2 linked regions of the Arabidopsis thaliana genome follow. The protein of the gene in region 1 interacts with the protein of each later gene in a pairwise test. Each region holds a gene or a part of one and is shown on either strand. Other genes may lie near its edges. The genes, in order: MEE18 and AT2G24860.

What was found.
Region 2: the proteins of MEE18 (region 1) and AT2G24860 interact in a two-hybrid assay, tested with the Arabidopsis thaliana proteins (one large-scale study listed by BioGRID).

The regions. Positions count from the first base shown.
Region 1 is NC_003071.7:14,395,466-14,400,825, forward strand, and holds MEE18 (maternal effect embryo arrest 18), read right to left. Parts: upstream 3,811-5,360; coding exon 3,531-3,810; intron 3,307-3,530; coding exon 3,190-3,306; intron 3,081-3,189; coding exon 2,948-3,080; intron 2,836-2,947; coding exon of another isoform or gene 2,821-2,835; coding exon 2,724-2,820; intron 2,583-2,723; coding exon 2,539-2,582; intron 2,452-2,538; coding exon 2,295-2,451; intron 2,067-2,294; coding exon 1,995-2,066; intron 1,853-1,994; coding exon 1,769-1,852; intron 1,598-1,768; coding exon 1,496-1,597; intron 1,408-1,495; coding exon 1,360-1,407; intron 1,292-1,359; coding exon 1,166-1,291; coding exon of another isoform or gene 1,079-1,165; coding exon 818-1,078; downstream 1-817. Other genes in the region: AT2G34100 (nonsense-mediated mRNA decay-like protein), read right to left, coding at 4,240-4,548, 4,678-4,950, 5,098-5,210, 5,338-5,360.
Region 2 is NC_003071.7:10,585,863-10,590,279, forward strand, and holds AT2G24860 (DnaJ/Hsp40 cysteine-rich domain superfamily protein), read right to left. Parts: upstream 2,555-4,417; 5' UTR 2,379-2,554; coding exon 2,172-2,378; intron 1,586-2,171; coding exon 1,436-1,585; intron 1,334-1,435; coding exon 1,256-1,333; 3' UTR 781-1,255; downstream 1-780. Other genes in the region: AT2G24870 (Plant self-incompatibility protein S1 family), read right to left, coding at 2,798-2,938, 3,686-3,712.

The sequences.
Region 1 (5,360 bases):
TTTTTCTTTTGGCGTGTACTTTACATATTTTTGTAATAAATTCTGTTAAAAAGTTGATTTGTTTGTCATTTCCGCAACGAATGACTAGAAACAAAGTGTCTAAAACAATACATATTATATGTCTGCCCAATCACTGAATGGAGGAGCAATGAAGCATGGGCTCAAATGGATGCGTCATTGTCATCATACAAGTTTAATATTTTGGTATATTTATGTCTCTCTACTTGACTTACAAGAGTCACGTACTGCTACTTGTGAGCATTATAAAATTATGATCACTGTGTCAAAAACTTGTAAAGAAATCTTCGGTTAAATTCATCTTTCAACAATTAACATTGGTTATTGAACAAGTGATTCTTTTCTAAACTTAACTGAAAGGGCCAACAAAGTTGTATGGGCTTAGGGCCCTACCAATCTCAGGGCACGCTCTGTTTGTTGCTGGCATCATTTGCTTTGCTTTAATACATCTTTTTAGTAAAAGCACACATGTTAATACACAGTGAGAAACAAAGATGCCTTTGCTTGTTTGGGAATGAAAAGCACACATAGTTATGTAGAAATGTCATCATTTGGTTTCATTGGAAAGTGAACTGTATTCATCTGTACAGTAGTTATATGTAAAACGTGTAAGAAAAAACATATGATACAACTCCGAGAGAAAGAGAGGCGTTTGTCTTTCCTTAGCTAAGAATATGATCATTGACCATTCATAACCTTTCATATCAATTCACTAAAGGATCAAACTAAACAGTAACAAAAAAATCATGGTCCCAATTGCGTAGAAGAAGAAACTAGCTCTGGCCTAAAGAATCACTATTTACTCCACCAAACCGGCCAGTGTGTTTATCAGTGAGCTCGGGTTGAACAAGATACCGTGCTTCGGGTCACCAACACTCTCCACGACTCTCTGCAATAGAGTGGAGGTAACAGTGAGTGTTTGTTGTGCACATAAACTTGGAAACAAGTGAAGGAAAGAGATACTGACAACATCATATATCCCTTGTTCAGACAATTGTTTGAGATCTACTGCTATTTCTCCATCTTTCGGGACCAAGAGAGTGTTGATGTAATATCCAGGCTGCACACAAAAATGATGTTCTTGGATATCGATATATGTCTGATAAAGAAGACATCGAAAGAGTGTGGATTGTGAAGAACCACTCACGGGATTCTTGAGCCGAATATTAGTATCTCCATGAGTTCTGTTGAGAGCGTCAGCGATAGCAGTCACAAAGCAGGAAGCGGTGAACCTGCTTGTTTCTCGGTCTTGGCTACCGTTCAAAAGAAGTACCTGTGACAGAGAGAAGAAATCAGATTGATTTTTACCATCATTAGTATTTTTGACAAGCTTCAGCATACCTTACGACATGACCTGGAAGAGATAATCTCCCCAACACCAAGCAAAACCTGATGAACAGAAAGACTTGTCTATAACAGTTATCACAAATTTAGTAATCCACCATTTTTGCACAACATATTTATTGCGGGTGCTAACCAGTGATGGGCAAATGGAAGTGAACAGGGATCCCATTGCGTAAACGATACAGTCCACGCTTCTCAACTGCTCTAGGACAGTTGGGTTAACTGGTGGGAAGACCTGTTTAATGGACATAACACCAAACATTTGCAATGTCAAATACACCGTGCAAAACAAAGAAATGAAGTAGAGAACTAAAACGATAGAGTTTCTTAAAGGGAATCAGAATCATTAGAGATAACATTGAAGATATCTAGGACATTCTGTATATATAAAAGCAGAGTAGTTAACCTCATGAAGCAGATTATTGCCTTCACTTGACATGTAAAACACTCTCTTTATCTTCGATGGGAGAGCGGAAGTAGAACAATGTCTCTACTAGAAACATAGAAAGACAATGTAAGAAAATAAATTCTACATATGGCAAAATTGACATTTTTAATTGATACAAGTATATAGTAAACTTAGTTCTCGTGATCATCAAAAAACACCAATGTAAGATATTCAAATAGAACACCTTGTCAACTGTCTGCGTAGTCCCAGTGGTCGGGTGAGAAATTTCGTTCTGTCCGCGTATTATAGTCCCATCCTACAAATTAAAGTCATAACTTGTTAGTTTGCGAACAAATTTGCCACCTCAATCTTGCCATTAATTGTTTAAACCAAGAAGATGGCCAGTGAAGCGACAGCCAAGATTTATGTATAGAAAGCGATACTTCTTCCCGCAAATAATGATGCTTTAGCTGCGATATTTGTGGACAAGAATGGGATTCCATAAGCTAGCTGCGGGAATTCAAATAGAGATCAAGCTTCATACCTGTAATTCACATCCTAGTGTTAGCCTATCATTGGTTGATATCACTGGGAGGACCAAACTGTCACAAGGAATCTCTGAAACACGTGAAAACAGAAAAATTGCAGCATCTAAAGACTGGAAAAATATCCTTGCTCCTGCAAAGAAGAAGTTCCCAATGCTACAAGAAGGAAACAATCATAAGTGAGTTACTAAACAGGCGAACAAAATAATACACAGTTGAAGCCGAGAAAAAGATCTTCAATACCTTCCATTACTGAAGCAAAATCTCTCATTAGGTCGCCTATGAATCTGTATCATAAGAAACATGTCAAGTAAGAAATGACAGAATATTAAGGTAAAGAAAAATTTAAACAATCAAGAAGTTGGAACTTGGAACTGATCAAATATGAAACCAATAAAAACATGTTTCTCTGTATCAGTTAACATTACCTCATTCTGAAAGTATATCAAGAAAGCGCGAATTGTTTCACTGTAGGGTCTTGATACACCATCCCACAGAGAATGATTACCTTCTACAATATCGTACCTGTCAAAGTTCCAACTCAGCCAATGGTATATTACACAATATTGTCCACCACAGAACCTTAAATGTGTAGCTTATAGAGTAGACCACACTATGTGCATAAAGAAAACATAGTCATTGGATAAATTACCAATCTTTCTTGGCCTGATGTGCATCAATAGGTAAGCGATGGCCAAGCAACCGCCTAACAGCAAGTGCCTCTGAAGTACTCTCATCAGACAGCCTTAAACACCTCGAACGTATATCACCAACCGCTGGCCCTCCTATAGCAACGGAGATATTGAGCTTAGATTACTTCTGGTAAAAACTTAAAGAAGCTAAAACATATATAATCTGGGTCTTGTAGCAATGTTAGTGAGTTCTAAAACTTACCGAGAACACGAACAATCTCAGCAGTACTTCCACCATCATCAGAGACAGGAAGAACATGAGCGACTCGTGTTGTTAACTTCTTCAACTCTTCAACCACACCATTAAATCCAGTACCACCTTCATAGCAACAAATATAACGTTTTCCAAAATTCAGAGCAAAAGAAAACTACCTAAACCAATGTAAGACAATGATAAAGCTTTGCACTTTGCAACAAACAGAATTAACAAATGTCAAATTCTAAGTAATTGGTCAAGATCTAACACAAATAGACGATCTTATCGACATAAAAATCGTAACTTTAGGGAGACCCACGAAACAAGGAAGAGGAAGAAAGTGGAACCTGAGAAGACGAGGAGAGAAGGAGGCTCCACGGTGGAGGAGGAGAGACATTCAGCCATGAGAGAAGTGGAATTGTAGTAATGTGGCTTCTTGCTGCGGAAGAGAGAATGAAGAGACAAAGGAAGAGATGGTGATTTATAATGGACTAGACCCCCAAAATAGCAAATCTCCGCCATTACCGAACTGAAACAGAGAATGATGAAACATCTCACCACTACCCTTTTCGTTTTTGTCGATTTTCCAAGCCTTTGGATTTTTCTTTTTTCGCAATGAGAGTGCATAATAAAGCCATAAAAGATATTTATTACGCGTTAGAAAAGAAAATAATCACGGTACTGGTGGTTTTGTTGGTTTTCTACTTGGTTTGGTCCAATAAACCAAAACTAGTGTTAAATCGATTTTGGTGGGATTGTGGTTTTGCATTAGTGTTTGAGCTCAAAATACATGTATAGACCAAATGTCGATGATTCCACTGGAAAGGTACCTTAAGATAATCTAAAAGATCACATGATCGAATGGCAAAGAAGACAAACAATAATGATAAGAAAAAGTACACTATTTGGTATTAAACCCCAAGTTAATAGAGTGACATAAGCCTTGTGAAAAACGAATGAAACACTCAAAAAACTACACAAATAAATATCATTAAAGCCGATGTAAAGTATAAACTCGATCAAATCACACACATTTTTTGCCAAAAGATCAGAGCCCTAAGCACTCTTCACATAAACCCAATCACCATCTGGTAAAAGGGTCTCGACCTCACCAAATTCCGTATTCTTCGCAATTGTCTCTCGCCTCACATTCACAAATCCTTGTGATACGTCATCTTCATCGTCATGAAGCACTTTCCTTAGCTCGCTCATTCTCTGCTCGCGCGACATCTCCATCGCTTCTTCAGAGTGATATTCCCCAGCTTCATCATCCTCCTCATCGCATGATTCTTCATCTTCTTCGTCGGAAGACGTGTCAACATTATATAACTGCTGATAACCACCTTTCCACGTCAAACTTGAACCCTAATCACAAATACAATAACCAAATCAGCAACTGATTAAAATAACAACATTTCATAGATGATCATTTTCCTAGTTTTTGTATGAGCATAGGTATAAAAATGTGAAAAAAACTGCTACACAAAAACTTACACTATCTTTTTCATTACGATGATCGTAGGAACTAGGGGTATAATTCGTCGCTGATCCCAAATCAAGCTCCGACATGTTTTCGGAATATTTAAAAACTGTAGTATCCGCTTCTTCATCTTCATCATCAAAATCCTCATTCCATGAATCATCACTATCTTCGGAGAAAATGTCAACATCTTCTTCATCGTCATTATCCTCTTCTTCTTCTTCATCGAAAGACAAGTAGCCACTCTTTAACAGCTGATAGTCACAGTTCCACTTCAAACTCGATTCCTATATCAGAAAGATTCAGTCAGAGACAATAAACAAAGTAGCAACTAATTAAATTTACCAAAATTCCGTTATACAAAATCCATGGTGATTTACTTATTCTAGTTAATGAGCTTTGATATGAAAATGGGAAAAGTGCTTCAAACTTACACTATTCTCTTCATCATAATCATCATCATCAATACCATCAGCACCATCACCATAATTTTCATAACAATCATCACCACCTTGTGCTTGAGTGAAACTCTCTGGGAATTTTGAAGCTGCCAAGAAAATCAATATGATACTTGTCAGTCAAGAAACCAAAAAAGTGCTGATGTTCTAGCTACTTTAATTTAATGGTATTTACAATAACTATAATGTAATATATACTATATATAAAACACATACCACGCATAGCCCAGTGTTGGCTC
Region 2 (4,417 bases), 3.8 Mb from region 1:
AAAGAGGAGATCATGGAGAAGATCTTTTTTAATTTTCTTTTTGGGCTTCCAAGAACATACATTATGAGAACTAGAAACAATATTATATTTTCTGAAGCCATTAGGTGTATTCAATATTTCGATTATATCAAGCATCTAGAAAATCCTCTTGTTGAGCTCATTATTAAAAAGACGGTTTCCATTTTCCATTTTCAGATATAGCCTATTAGTTAATTCTTACTACCATATGTATGTGACTATATCTGATTACAAAAGTTTATAGAAATTTATGTGTAGGATAAAAAAACTATTAGTGGAACTAAGGGGTGTCAAAAGGGGTTAACCCAAATCAATCCACCAAATTTTCCGTCAAAAACACATTATTTTTCTAAAAATACAGTTTCACAAAAAAGAAGAGATATAGAAAGTTGGATCAGATGAAAAAATGCATCTAATTGTGTAAAATTTAATAAAACTCTTATTTACGATTATGTAGTTTTGAAATTTTCTTCAATACACCGTAAAAAAAATAAAAAAAAATAACCTGCTGGTGCGTTGGTAATTTTTACTCAAAATAATTTAGTTTTTGTGCAGTAAATATGTATCTGGAAAGTTTTGTGACAAGTAAAACTAAAAGGGGCAAAGTAGAGGTATATATAATGGAGGAAACGGCGAACCACTGTGTTCGAGTGCCCTCTTACACTCTAGACATGAACACTTTTGAAGATTTCCTCATCACTTGGGAAATGGAATGCACACTGACACAAGTTCTTCACTTAGCAGCTTTGGTTAAGAATTATCCTGAAATCAAATGCCATTTTCACTTCCCCAAAAGAAAATGATTAAGTAACTAGCTTAGGTTGGATTTGTTAGGCACAAACTGTATCTAAGATGATGATAATCGCAATTCTATTAGAGAAACGCCATATCCAGATTCATCAAGGGTAAGGAAGATGCACATGATTTAACCCTACAACGAGAAAATATCAAAAGAAATACGAAGGTGACCCTGTGCTACTAATGTTCTTCCGTTGAGCTACTCCAATGATCGAAATCGTAAAACTCACGTGTCGATTACAAGAACTCTTGTGTAGGCCTTTGGTTGTACAGACAGAACAAGGGGAAATGAATAAATGAACTTACATATATATACTTAACACATGTATAAAGATATATGCATATCTGATTCATGTTCCACTTGAATCAATATATAAACATTTTTCCTCCATAAGAAATCATCAAAGACCAAAAAGCTTAACTTGCTTTTGTTCATCAGTTATGTTGGCACTGGAGGTTTTTCCAACCACTTGGCACGAAACCCCGTTCCTTTGCAATCGCTACAGCTAGCAGAACCCTAAAACCATTGAAAGAATCGAATTTGTTCATACTTGGGAAGATATATAAACAAGAAGACACAATAATGTGTCTGCACTTTCGTTTTTATTAGATAACAAACCTGTCCAGAGCAGATTACACATGAAGTATTCCTTGAGGGAACCTGGCAAAGCATGTTATCACCAAGGATGAAGAATCCTGTACCCGCACACCATTTGCATTCCACATGACCCTTTGAATTGCACGATGAACATCCAACAGGACTTGGTTGCTGCAGTGAAGAAAAAAACAGACAAAGAAAATCATTGAATCGAAACACAGGTCAACAAGTAACATCTAGAAAATTCACACGAGCTCAATATCAAATTGCAAGTGCTAGAAGAAAGGCTTCAAAGTCTGAACTTTTGATAGATTCTCTAAGAGCAATATTAGAGAAAAAGCAGAGAATCCAACAATTGTACATGCAAAGCTACAAAACTACATTGCGTTGCGAGATAAGCCTGCTTAAGCCTCATCACTCAGGGATCATAGAGAACAGCTACAACCTGATTAAGTAGCTAACATGTTCTCATCATATGCACAAATCAAATGAATTGTGAACAAACATTTTTTGCTAGAAACCAACTAAAAGGTACTTTGCAATTACAGATTTTCGATACAAATCCTTTTGAAACTTGCTGATACTATTCACCTCATAATCTGAAATTTACAACATTTCATCACAGATCCAAGTTCTTAATCTCATACAAAATTGCATATAGCTCTTCACTCGTACATGACTACATCAAGGATCAGTTCTTGTGATTACTCAGATTCAACAAAATTATACACATCAACAACTCTCTGGAGATACGAACCTGTGAGATAATCCAAGCTTGATCCATACGCTTGGCGAAATTTGAAGAACTCTCAGGTGAATCCACCGCCGAAGCCTTGACGGTAGTAGTAGCTGGAAAACGGCGAACGACTGGTACGAAACCTAGCTTCGTTATCCTAGGAGAATTCCATGGATTTAGAATCGATTTCGCTACGAGATGTGAATCGCAACACATGCAAATCGTCATTTTCTCTTCTTCTTCTTCTTCTTCGCCGAGAAGGTTGAAATCGGAGGTTTAAATTTGTCTTTGGCTTATTTTTATTTTATTTTATTTTTCTCGCATACCAAATTGGAAGACAACAGGAGGAGGAGAAAAGTCTAGGAATAACCCAATTGGGTTATTGGACCCTGGGCCCATTAAAGTTGGATCTTTTTGTTTGCTAAAATGATTGATTCAATGATTTAAACCAACTCATTATCTCCTCTACAATTCCTTGGATTCTTCCTACAGTCAAAACAAAATCCAGATTGCTTGTTTGTTTTTGGTTTGCTTATATGATTGAGAAAATAATTTTTTTCTATGTATAAATTTACTAGTTTTAAGATGATAATATAACATTTTTTTTTGTTCTTACATAGATTGTTAAATATTTTTAATTTAACCAATCATACACTTTTATGCATATTAATCGATTTTCCAATATGTTTGCCGCCTTCTTTGTCTAAATAGATTCCATCTTCTCTTGCTCTCCAGTCCCATATACCTCCTTCATCCATAAAACCAGAAAGCTTGAATGCTGTAAATTTCTGATAATGTTTATAGTTAGGTCCTTGTTCCAAATGACACATAAAACGCGTCGTACGCCAAAAATTAATCATAAAATTGATTTCAACATGTTTGCCGATTGGTATTGTTTTTGGACCAAATTTGTCATCTTTGGAATAACATCCAATCCTGAGAAGTTTATTGAATTTGAGTTCGTTGGTGATCCTGATTCCAGAGCCGAATACATGGTCAAGCATGCAAAAACTAAAAACGAATAAAAAAGACTAAACAGTTTTTCATTTTTTTTGGGTAGATATTTAGATTTTTGCTTTGTTATTGGCTTTTGTGTTTCAGATTTTATATATGCACACATTTGTATTACTATTGTTGGCATAGTATGTAAAATGGCATAATATCTTATAATAATCATATTAGATATACATAAATCTATTAATATTGAATTATGAAAAAAATGATAAAATCAAGTAACCAGTTGTAGATAATATTAAACCTTATGTGAAAGATCAAATGATAACTAAGAAATTCAATTGTGCATAAAAAAATCCTCAATAATAAACTGGTTATTCTATAAATCATATCATACTATCTATGTAACCTATTAGTAAATAAAGTATTTGTTTTTAAAAGTAATAGACAATTTGTAAAGTACAATAAACAACTAAGTAGAGAAAGACAAACTAAATTAGGTTTATACATTTTGTTCTTGTAATAACGTTCTTGTGATTACTCAAATTCAACAAACTCAACAACTCTCGAAAGATACGAACCTGTGAGATTATCCAAGCTTGATCCATATGCTTGGTGAAATTTAAAGAACTCTCAGGTGAATCCACCGCCGAAGCCTTGAAAGTAGTAGTAGTCGGAAAACGGCAAACGACCAGTACAAACCCTAGTTTCGTTCTACTCCGCAAATTCCATGGATTCATAATCGATTTTTTTACAAGATGTGAATCGCAACACATGCAAATCGCCATTTCCTTCTTCTTCTTCTTGGCCGAAAAGGTTGAATTCGGATTTTAATCTACTCGGGCCTCTCGGGTTAAAACATTCTCTATTTAGCTCCCATTATAAAAAAAAAAATATGTTTATCTAGTTTTTTTTCTCCAAAAAATAGTAAAAGACAAATAAAACAAGGGGTTTTCACTTATTTACGATCCAACCATTATGTTGTGTTGTGTTTAATTAAGATTTTAATTCACTCTATTGATTGTGTTGTGTTTAATTAGGATTTTATTTAAGGTTTCATTCTATTGATTGTGTTGTATTTAATTAGGATTTTATTTCATATTAGATTTGATGGTTTGATCCTTTTTTCTTTGATTTTGGGTGAAACGGATAGATTTTGGATAAAATTTTGATTACAATTAGGATTTCTTATGATTACAATTCGGATTTGAATTACATTTTGGATTTATAATCGAAATTGTCCTTTAAATAGCCTCTCGTAATAGCCATTGTGACTAGTTTTTATGATTACAATTGGGATTTCAAGAAATTTG